2 linked regions of the Sus scrofa genome follow. The protein of the gene in region 1 interacts with the protein of each later gene in a pairwise test. Links are inferred from orthologs where the notes say so. Each region holds a gene or a part of one and is shown in the gene's direction. Other genes may lie near its edges. The genes, in order: GAD1 and HAAO.

What was found.
Region 2: the proteins of GAD1 (region 1) and HAAO interact in a two-hybrid assay, tested with the Homo sapiens proteins (4 studies listed by BioGRID and IntAct). The two-hybrid records come from large-scale screens. The link is inferred for Sus scrofa from reciprocal best matches to the Homo sapiens genes GAD1 and HAAO.

Annotation. Positions count from the first base shown.
Region 1 is NC_010457.5:76,990,558-76,994,916, forward strand, and holds the start of GAD1 (glutamate decarboxylase 1), read left to right. Parts: upstream 1-1,305; 5' UTR 1,306-1,469; intron 1,470-1,643; exon of another isoform or gene 1,644-1,692; coding exon of another isoform or gene 1,693-1,830; intron 1,831-2,090; exon of another isoform or gene 2,091-2,229; coding exon of another isoform or gene 2,230-2,244; intron 2,245-2,949; coding exon of another isoform or gene 2,950-3,012; coding exon 3,013-3,094; intron 3,095-4,359.
Region 2 is NC_010445.4:97,590,734-97,593,429, forward strand, and holds part of HAAO (3-hydroxyanthranilate 3,4-dioxygenase), read left to right. Parts: intron 1-411; coding exon 412-501; intron 502-822; coding exon 823-866; intron 867-1,131; coding exon 1,132-1,277; intron 1,278-2,696. UniProt on the Homo sapiens protein: Catalyzes the oxidative ring opening of 3-hydroxyanthranilate to 2-amino-3-carboxymuconate semialdehyde, which spontaneously cyclizes to quinolinate.

The DNA of each region.
Region 1 (4,359 bases):
GCCGCAGATGTATCCATAAATAACCCCTGCCTGCCGCACCGCGAAAGGAAAAAAAATTTTTTTTTACTGTGAAAATGAGTAAAGGAATCACTGGTTACACGGTGTCATCCAGACACAAAAATCGACTTTGGCCCTAAAGAAGAAGAAACTGAGGTAGAGCAAAGAGGAGAAGATAAATTAGAGACGAGAGGATGGATAGCTTGAAAAGGCCGGAGACTAACAGCCAGGCTAGCCCCTCCAGGTGTTGACTGTGGCACAGGAGAAAAGACCCGGCTAGCATAGGGCTCTCGGTCTCTGGCCTCCTGGCGCCATCTGGTGGAAAATGTTCCGTGAAAGCCTTTTTACAGTGAGGGGCTTTCCGAAAGCGGTAGTTCTTAAATATGTTTAAATATTGCAAAAGGAGAATCCTTAAAAATCGAAAGGGGGAGTGGAGAGAATTGGGCCTGAGCAGAGAGGGCCGGTCCGCTTCCCCTATCCCCGCCCCCGGGCCACCTCTCTGCTTGGGTTCCCCTTGTGTGTGGAGCTGCGCTCGTGCGTGTTATTAACCTTCAGATGTGATCAATCAGGAGGACTCCTTTCCCCATCACCAAGGGAACCAAAGCTAGGAGGGCGTGCCTAGTGGGTTGGAAACAGGACCCTTTTCTCTGCCAGTGGCACTGGGTAGCTGTGCTCAAGTCAAGTATTTCGAAAGGCTCTAACCTAGATGAGGAAACTGAAGTGAAAAGGAAACGTAGAGTCCTTTAGGGTCTGAGTGTTCCCCCCTCATCCCTGCCTCCTTCGCTTTTACAACAATCCTGGCTCCGTAAGTGAGCCAGCAAAGACACGACCCAGAGCGCTCTTTCGTTCAGGGAGGCATCGTGGGGTCGCAGAGCTGGGGAAACCTCAGGGGAAGAAATTGAGGCAAAGCAACTGCTCTTTTCTTCTCCAAGATATGGGAGTGGAGAAGAGCAAAAGGAGGGAGGAGCGCTCAGCGAGGCAGAATTATCTTTTCCGTCTCTTTACCCGATACTCTGCCTATTTCAAAAAACAGAGCGTGTTGAGTACGTTCTGGATTACTCATAAGGCTTTTTCTTTTCTTTTCTTTTCTTTTTTTTTTCCGGCGCAAACCCGTGATTTGGATTTATAATCGCCCTCTAAAGCTCCAGAGGCAGCAGGCACCTGCAAGGAGCCCCGCCGCTCTGCCGACGAGCTGCCCCCGCGAGCAGCGGCCTCGTGATTCCCCCGCCGAGCCGGCCCCCGCCTCCCCACTCCGCCCCCGCCTCCCCTGAAGCCCAGCAGCCGCCTCTCCGGATCGCTCTCTTCTCTTACTGGCGCTCGCGTGCGGGACGGTGCTACCAGGAGAGAGGCGGCAGCTGGAGGTGACGCCGGGCAGACTACGCCTGTGGCAGGGCCGGGCCCAAGCCAGGCAGATTGCTGGGCGCTACGCCGAAGAGCGACCGGAGCGCCCGGCTTGCTGTCGCCCAGCCTAGGTGGGTAAGCGCGCGGCCGCCGAATCTTCCCAGTGACTAGCCCGACTGTTCAGCTGGGTCCTCTTCACCCGCGCACGGTTTCTTGACCAGCCCCCACCTCCAGTGTCTGCCATCTGCCCTCCCGAGCAGAGTGCATCCTGCCTGCCCCAGTCCCGGCTCTCTGTTCTTGCGCAGCCCAGAGACCCCAGCCTTCGCAATCATCCTGTCCCCACCAGCGAGATTCATGCCCCGGGGACGCACAGAGGCTGAGGCTCGCACAGAAGTGGAGCGAGAGCGATTTTCCCCTCTGCTTCCCGGCTGCGAGCGCCGGTCTCACCAATGGGCTCCAGGCCAGCAGCAGCGGAAGGCGCGACTCCGAGCGGTAACCTGTTACTTCCCCAGATGCCGCGGTCTACCCGCTGCCCGGGTTGCAGTGCGAGTGCGCGCGTTGCGTTAGATGTGGGGTCCTTTGGAGGGTGTGGAAGCGGTGGCCAGCAGGCGCTACTCTGAAGCTCTTAGATCTACCCATATTCACTCGCACTCTGTCCCCTGGCCTTTGGCAGCCATCGCGCCAGCGTGGAGCGCAGAGCAGAGGCGTCGCGCACAGATCCCTGTCTACCGCCTCCAGCGCTCTGGGCGCAAGTTCGTTTCCCCAGTGACGTTCTCCTTTCTTGCCTCCCTCACCCTCTCCGGGTCTGTAGAGCGAGAAATCCGGGGACCTCAGAGACTTGGGTGGAGGAGAAATACAGAAAGCCAAACCGACCCTGTTCTTGGCTTCGAGATGGCTCAAAGCAGGGTGAGGCAAGAGGGGGGCAAGAGGGAGACAAGCAAGGTTCCTACTCGCTGCTTTCTGGCTGTCTGGACTACAAGGTGACTGTATTTCTTACCTGGCCAAGTCCGAGGGAGAACGTAAAGATACGGACCCTTTTTTCCTCTCACCTTGTCTCACCAAAGTCCCCGGTCCCCGCAGCAGTTAGCCTCCTTCTTTCCAGGGAATTAGCCAGACACAACAACGGGAACCAGACACCGAACCAGACGTGCCCGCCCCGTGCGCCATCCCCACCCCCCAACCTCCCCGCCTTCTCTCCGCGTGCTGCTGAAAGCCCAATAAGGCTTGTCGTGGCTAGGCTGGAAAATCGCGCTCTGAGCCTTCCTAGCCCTCCTAGCCGAGTCCCCCGCACCACCACCACCACCCCCGCCCCCGAGACCCGCACTGGCCTTGGGTTCCCCTCCAGGTCGCCCAGCCGCGCAGCCAGACTGGAGAGCCGCCCGGGGCTACGTTGTCCGCGCCCTAGTGTGTCCGAGCTAGCGCGCACTCCTCCCCTCCCCGTCCCCAGCCCAGCGCACCCTGACCTAGCCACAGGGGTAGCTGCCCTTCCTGTCGCCTCTTTCTCCTCAGCCTGGACTTCAGCAGGAGCGTCCGCGCCTCCCACGGCTCAGTCGCCTCCCGCTCACCGGACCCCGGAAGCCCTCCCCGCACAGCTTTCGCTTCTCTTTGCAGCCTGCTCCTGCACCCGACCGGCCGAGGACCCCGGACAGCAGAGGCCCTGGGACGACCGAGCTGATGGCGTCTTCGACCCCTTCTTCGTCCGCAACCTCCTCGAACGCGGGACCGGACCCCAATACTACCAACCTGCGCCCCACAAGTAGGTCCTGCCCCAGTTTCCTATGAAATGGACTGCGGGGAAGATGGGGGCGCTGGGACGTGAGGAGGCTGCGCCGGCGGAAAGGAAGGGAGAGCGCGGAGATGATGGAGGCTGAAAAGAAATGGGGCCCTGAGCCAGGTCCCCACCGGCCGTCGTCGTTAGACTGTCAGGAATGCTAGTCAGTTCCAGGGTGCTAAGAGAATGGGGAACCACGCAGGGTTCAAGCGGCGGTGATCCATGAGGCTCCGCTGCGAGGAGAAGGACGCGCGGAGAGTGTTGTTTTGTTGTGTAGTGTGTGATTTCTTTGCTAGGCGAGACGACGAGGGTCAGTGCACTCGGGTGGTGTGAGAAGCCAGGAGGCTCAACGGGAATAGAGAGTGTTTTTGTTTAGTGTGTGGTTTCTTTGCTAGGTGAGACGACGAGGGTCGGTGCACTGGGGTGGTGTGAGGAGCAGGGAGGCTCAATGGGAATACAGAGTTTTCTGTCGCCAGCTTTCGTTGATGCCTCCCTCCTCCTCCTCTCTCCCCTGCGTTGTGCTCGAAGTCTATAATCAGCGGAAATTTCGACGTTAATTGCAGCTTTTAGAAAACTCGGGGTCCCTAATTGCTCCAAATTTGCGTCGAGCTATTGACTGGTGAGGGAAAAGCCAGGGGCGAGAAAGGAGCATAAAATGGTTTGAGATTAAGCCTCGACATTTTAGACAATTAATTACATTTCAGAGACACACACAGAAAAGGAGCGGGCAGCATCCTGAGTGGCAAGAAGTAGGGGACCAGGAGGAGATCAGAAGGTTTGCCAGGGCAGGAGGAGAGAGCAATGCTTTCTTTGCTCTGGGGCAGAAGACTTGTCAACAATTGACATGTCCAGAAGAGAGAAGAAAAGGAGAACCTGATTAAAAAGGGGTGGGGAGATTTTTGCTTCCCCACCCTTAGCTCTGTGCAGCTCCTCAACCCGTATCCAGGATATCTTTAGTTCAGATTGATTTCCTACCTCTTCGTAGAGGCGCGGAGATGGGGGCGTTGTTTTCCTTTTTCCAATTTGAATGAAATGCGCTCCTCCATATATATGGCTCCGGACAGTAATGGCCCCAGAATTTCTATATAAAAAGACCTTTAGGGATGGCTGTGTGGTTAGAAGGAGGGCTTATTGCTTTGCTTTTATGGCACTTCCTATAAGCTTGAGAAAATGTCAATTGTTCCCATCAACGAAGGGGAGGGGGGTGTTACTGGGTAAGCACTCTGTCCAACCCCTAGGTGCTGCCCTTG
Region 2 (2,696 bases), on another chromosome or scaffold:
AGGAGGAGGTGCAGCTGCATATCTGGATCAGGCTTAGCCTCAGCTGCTTCTTTTGGAAAAACACTTGTCACTGATGCTCTCTATGCTTCTAAGACTGTCTCGGGTCTGTCCTGCTTCTGCCACTTACAGGCTGTGTAACCCCTGCCAAGCTGCCCAGCTTATTTCTGAGCCTCAGAGCTCTAGCTACAAGCTTTGGGAACCAGGAAGCATGGGGTCGGTTGCCCTCCCACGATCGGGCGGCACAGGGAGAGCCAGGTGTGGGTAAGCACGCAGTGGCCACTAGGTTGCGCTAAGGGTCAGCTGTGCAGGGCCAGCAGGGGCCCTGACATCCACAAGCACATCCAGGCCTGAGGGAGGCTGCCCTGAGTCTGCCCAGATGGGGAGCTGGGTGCTCGTCCTTTGTTCTGGCAGGTACTACATCGGGGACACTACGGATGTCCTGTTTGAGAAGTGGTTCTACTGCGAGGACCTCGGCACACAGTTGGCCCCCATCATCCAAGAGTGAGCCCCCAGCCCAGCCCTACCCCTTGCTTTCCTGAGGCGCCACACTCTGACCCAGAGAGCAGACCCAGCTCAGCAGTGCTTCAAGGCAGCAGCTGCCAGCCCGAAGCCATCACACCCAGGATTAAGGGAGAAAGTCTACCACTCTGGGGGGGGGGGGGGGGGTGGAAGCCTGGAAGGAAGGGCTGGCAGATATACAGCCAATCCTGTGAGGACCCCGTGGGTGTGTTATGGGCTAGAATATATGAGTGTGTGTGTGTGTGTGTGTGTGTGTTCCTTTGTGCCTCACTAGCCTCTCCTCCTCCCCATTTGTCCCTGTAGGTTCTTCAGCTCTGAGCAGCACAGAACAGGAAAGCCCAACCCTGGTGAGGCCACTGGAACCACCCTCCCTCTCCCTCCCTCTTTTCCAGAGAAGGGTGGGTCTTGGCCCAGGGTACCGAGGAGTCTCCTTTGAAGTCCTCTGTCCAGTACTCAAGGCACAAGAAGATGGCACCAAATAGTGCCCCCACATGGCTGCTCCGTCCCAGAGCCCATTCCCACAATCGGGAGCTGGGACCCCTGGGAACTGGGCCCCCTGGGGTTGGGGGTCGGGGCCAGAGGACACTGACGGCAGCTGTGCTGTGGGTGCAGACCAGCTGCTCAAGGAACCGCCATTCCCCCTGAGCACACGGTCCGTCATGGAGCCCATGTCCCTGGAGGCCTGGCTGGCTGGCCACCGCAAGGAACTGCAGGCGGGCACACCACTCAGCCTGTTTGGGGACACCTATGAGACCCAGGTAATGCAGCCCTGGGCCACACAGGAACTAATCACATGGAGACACACGCACGCACACGCACACGCCAGTTTTGGAGATTGTAGACACAAGAACAGGCCTTCCTATTTCCTCCCTGATTCAGAGAATGAATGGCTTTGCTGTGAGTGGAAGCCCCTGGAGGCTACCTGGCCCCCAGCGATCTTTCTTTGCCTTCAGAGTGGGGGTTGCCCCATCCACAGATAGGTTCCTGGGGGTTAGGAGTCACCCCCCTGCCAGGACTTCTTGGGCCTTTGGCTAATCATAGCCTTAGAAAGAGATATTTGGGGGTGAGGGTTGGGTGGAAAATCACACAGAGACCCAAAACAAGCTGGCCTCCTTTCATTCCACAGTTAGTGAGTGCCTATTATGTTACAGGCTTTGGTAGCAAAATACGGTAGAGTCACTGCCTCAGAATGTACAGTGTGGTAAATGGACAAGTTAATCAGCAGCTGCCACAATCATGTGATAACGTTCTTTGGTAGAGAAACTACAGGAAGCCACTGGAGGATAGAGGAACCCAGCTGTGAGGAAAGTCAGGGAAGGCTTCCTGGAAGAGGCGATGTATGAGCTGAGTTTTAAAGCTCTTGTAGGAGTTTGCAAAGGGAAGAAAGAGAGAGAAAGCATTTTAGGTGAAGGAAAAGCCTGAGCAAAGGCCCACAGGCTTGAAACAGACTGACAATACAAATAGCTGAGGTTGGGAAACCAGAACAGGGGCAATGAGGCAGTGAGGGCAATGGCTAGATGGCCACAGTAGCAGACAGTGCCCAGGGGCTGGCAGCTCTCCTGGGCTGGATGAGGTGCAAGGGCTTATCCTTAAGACAGGAGTGCTTCACCCAAGTGACCAGGCTAGAGTGGTGCCTCACTGTAGCCCATGTGAGGACTGGATTAGGAGGGCCAGGGCCAATGTGGTGATGAGGAGACTCGCTCAGGGCTCAGTTCACCTGCAGTTTGCAGTTTGAGTTAGAGGCCCCAACGGAGGCGTGCTCACGGGATGCAGACCAGCCCCAAGAGGCCCTCACACCCCAGAGCTTACGCAGGGCTGTGAGAGCTGGCGGACCCACCCAGCAAGTCCCTCCCACCCCATGGCCCTGCCTGCCTCTTTTTCACACCCCTCCTCCTCCCTGCTTCCGTTTACTCCAGAAATATCTACTGAGTCCCACAGGCTCTGGGCCTGTGGAAGCGTGGCCTGCATAGCAGCTGTGGGCTTCTGGGCTGGTGCAGGTCAGAGCCGCTCAGCCTCCCTCTCCCTCCTCCCTCCTCCCCTCCCATCTCCCTCTTTAGGCCAGACTCCTGCCATCTCACGGAAGAAGGGAGGCGGGCATCCTCTGGGGGAGTTAATGTGTGTGCTGCACGGGTCTGCACAGTGCCGTGCACACACTCGTGCCTGTGTCCCTCCTCATG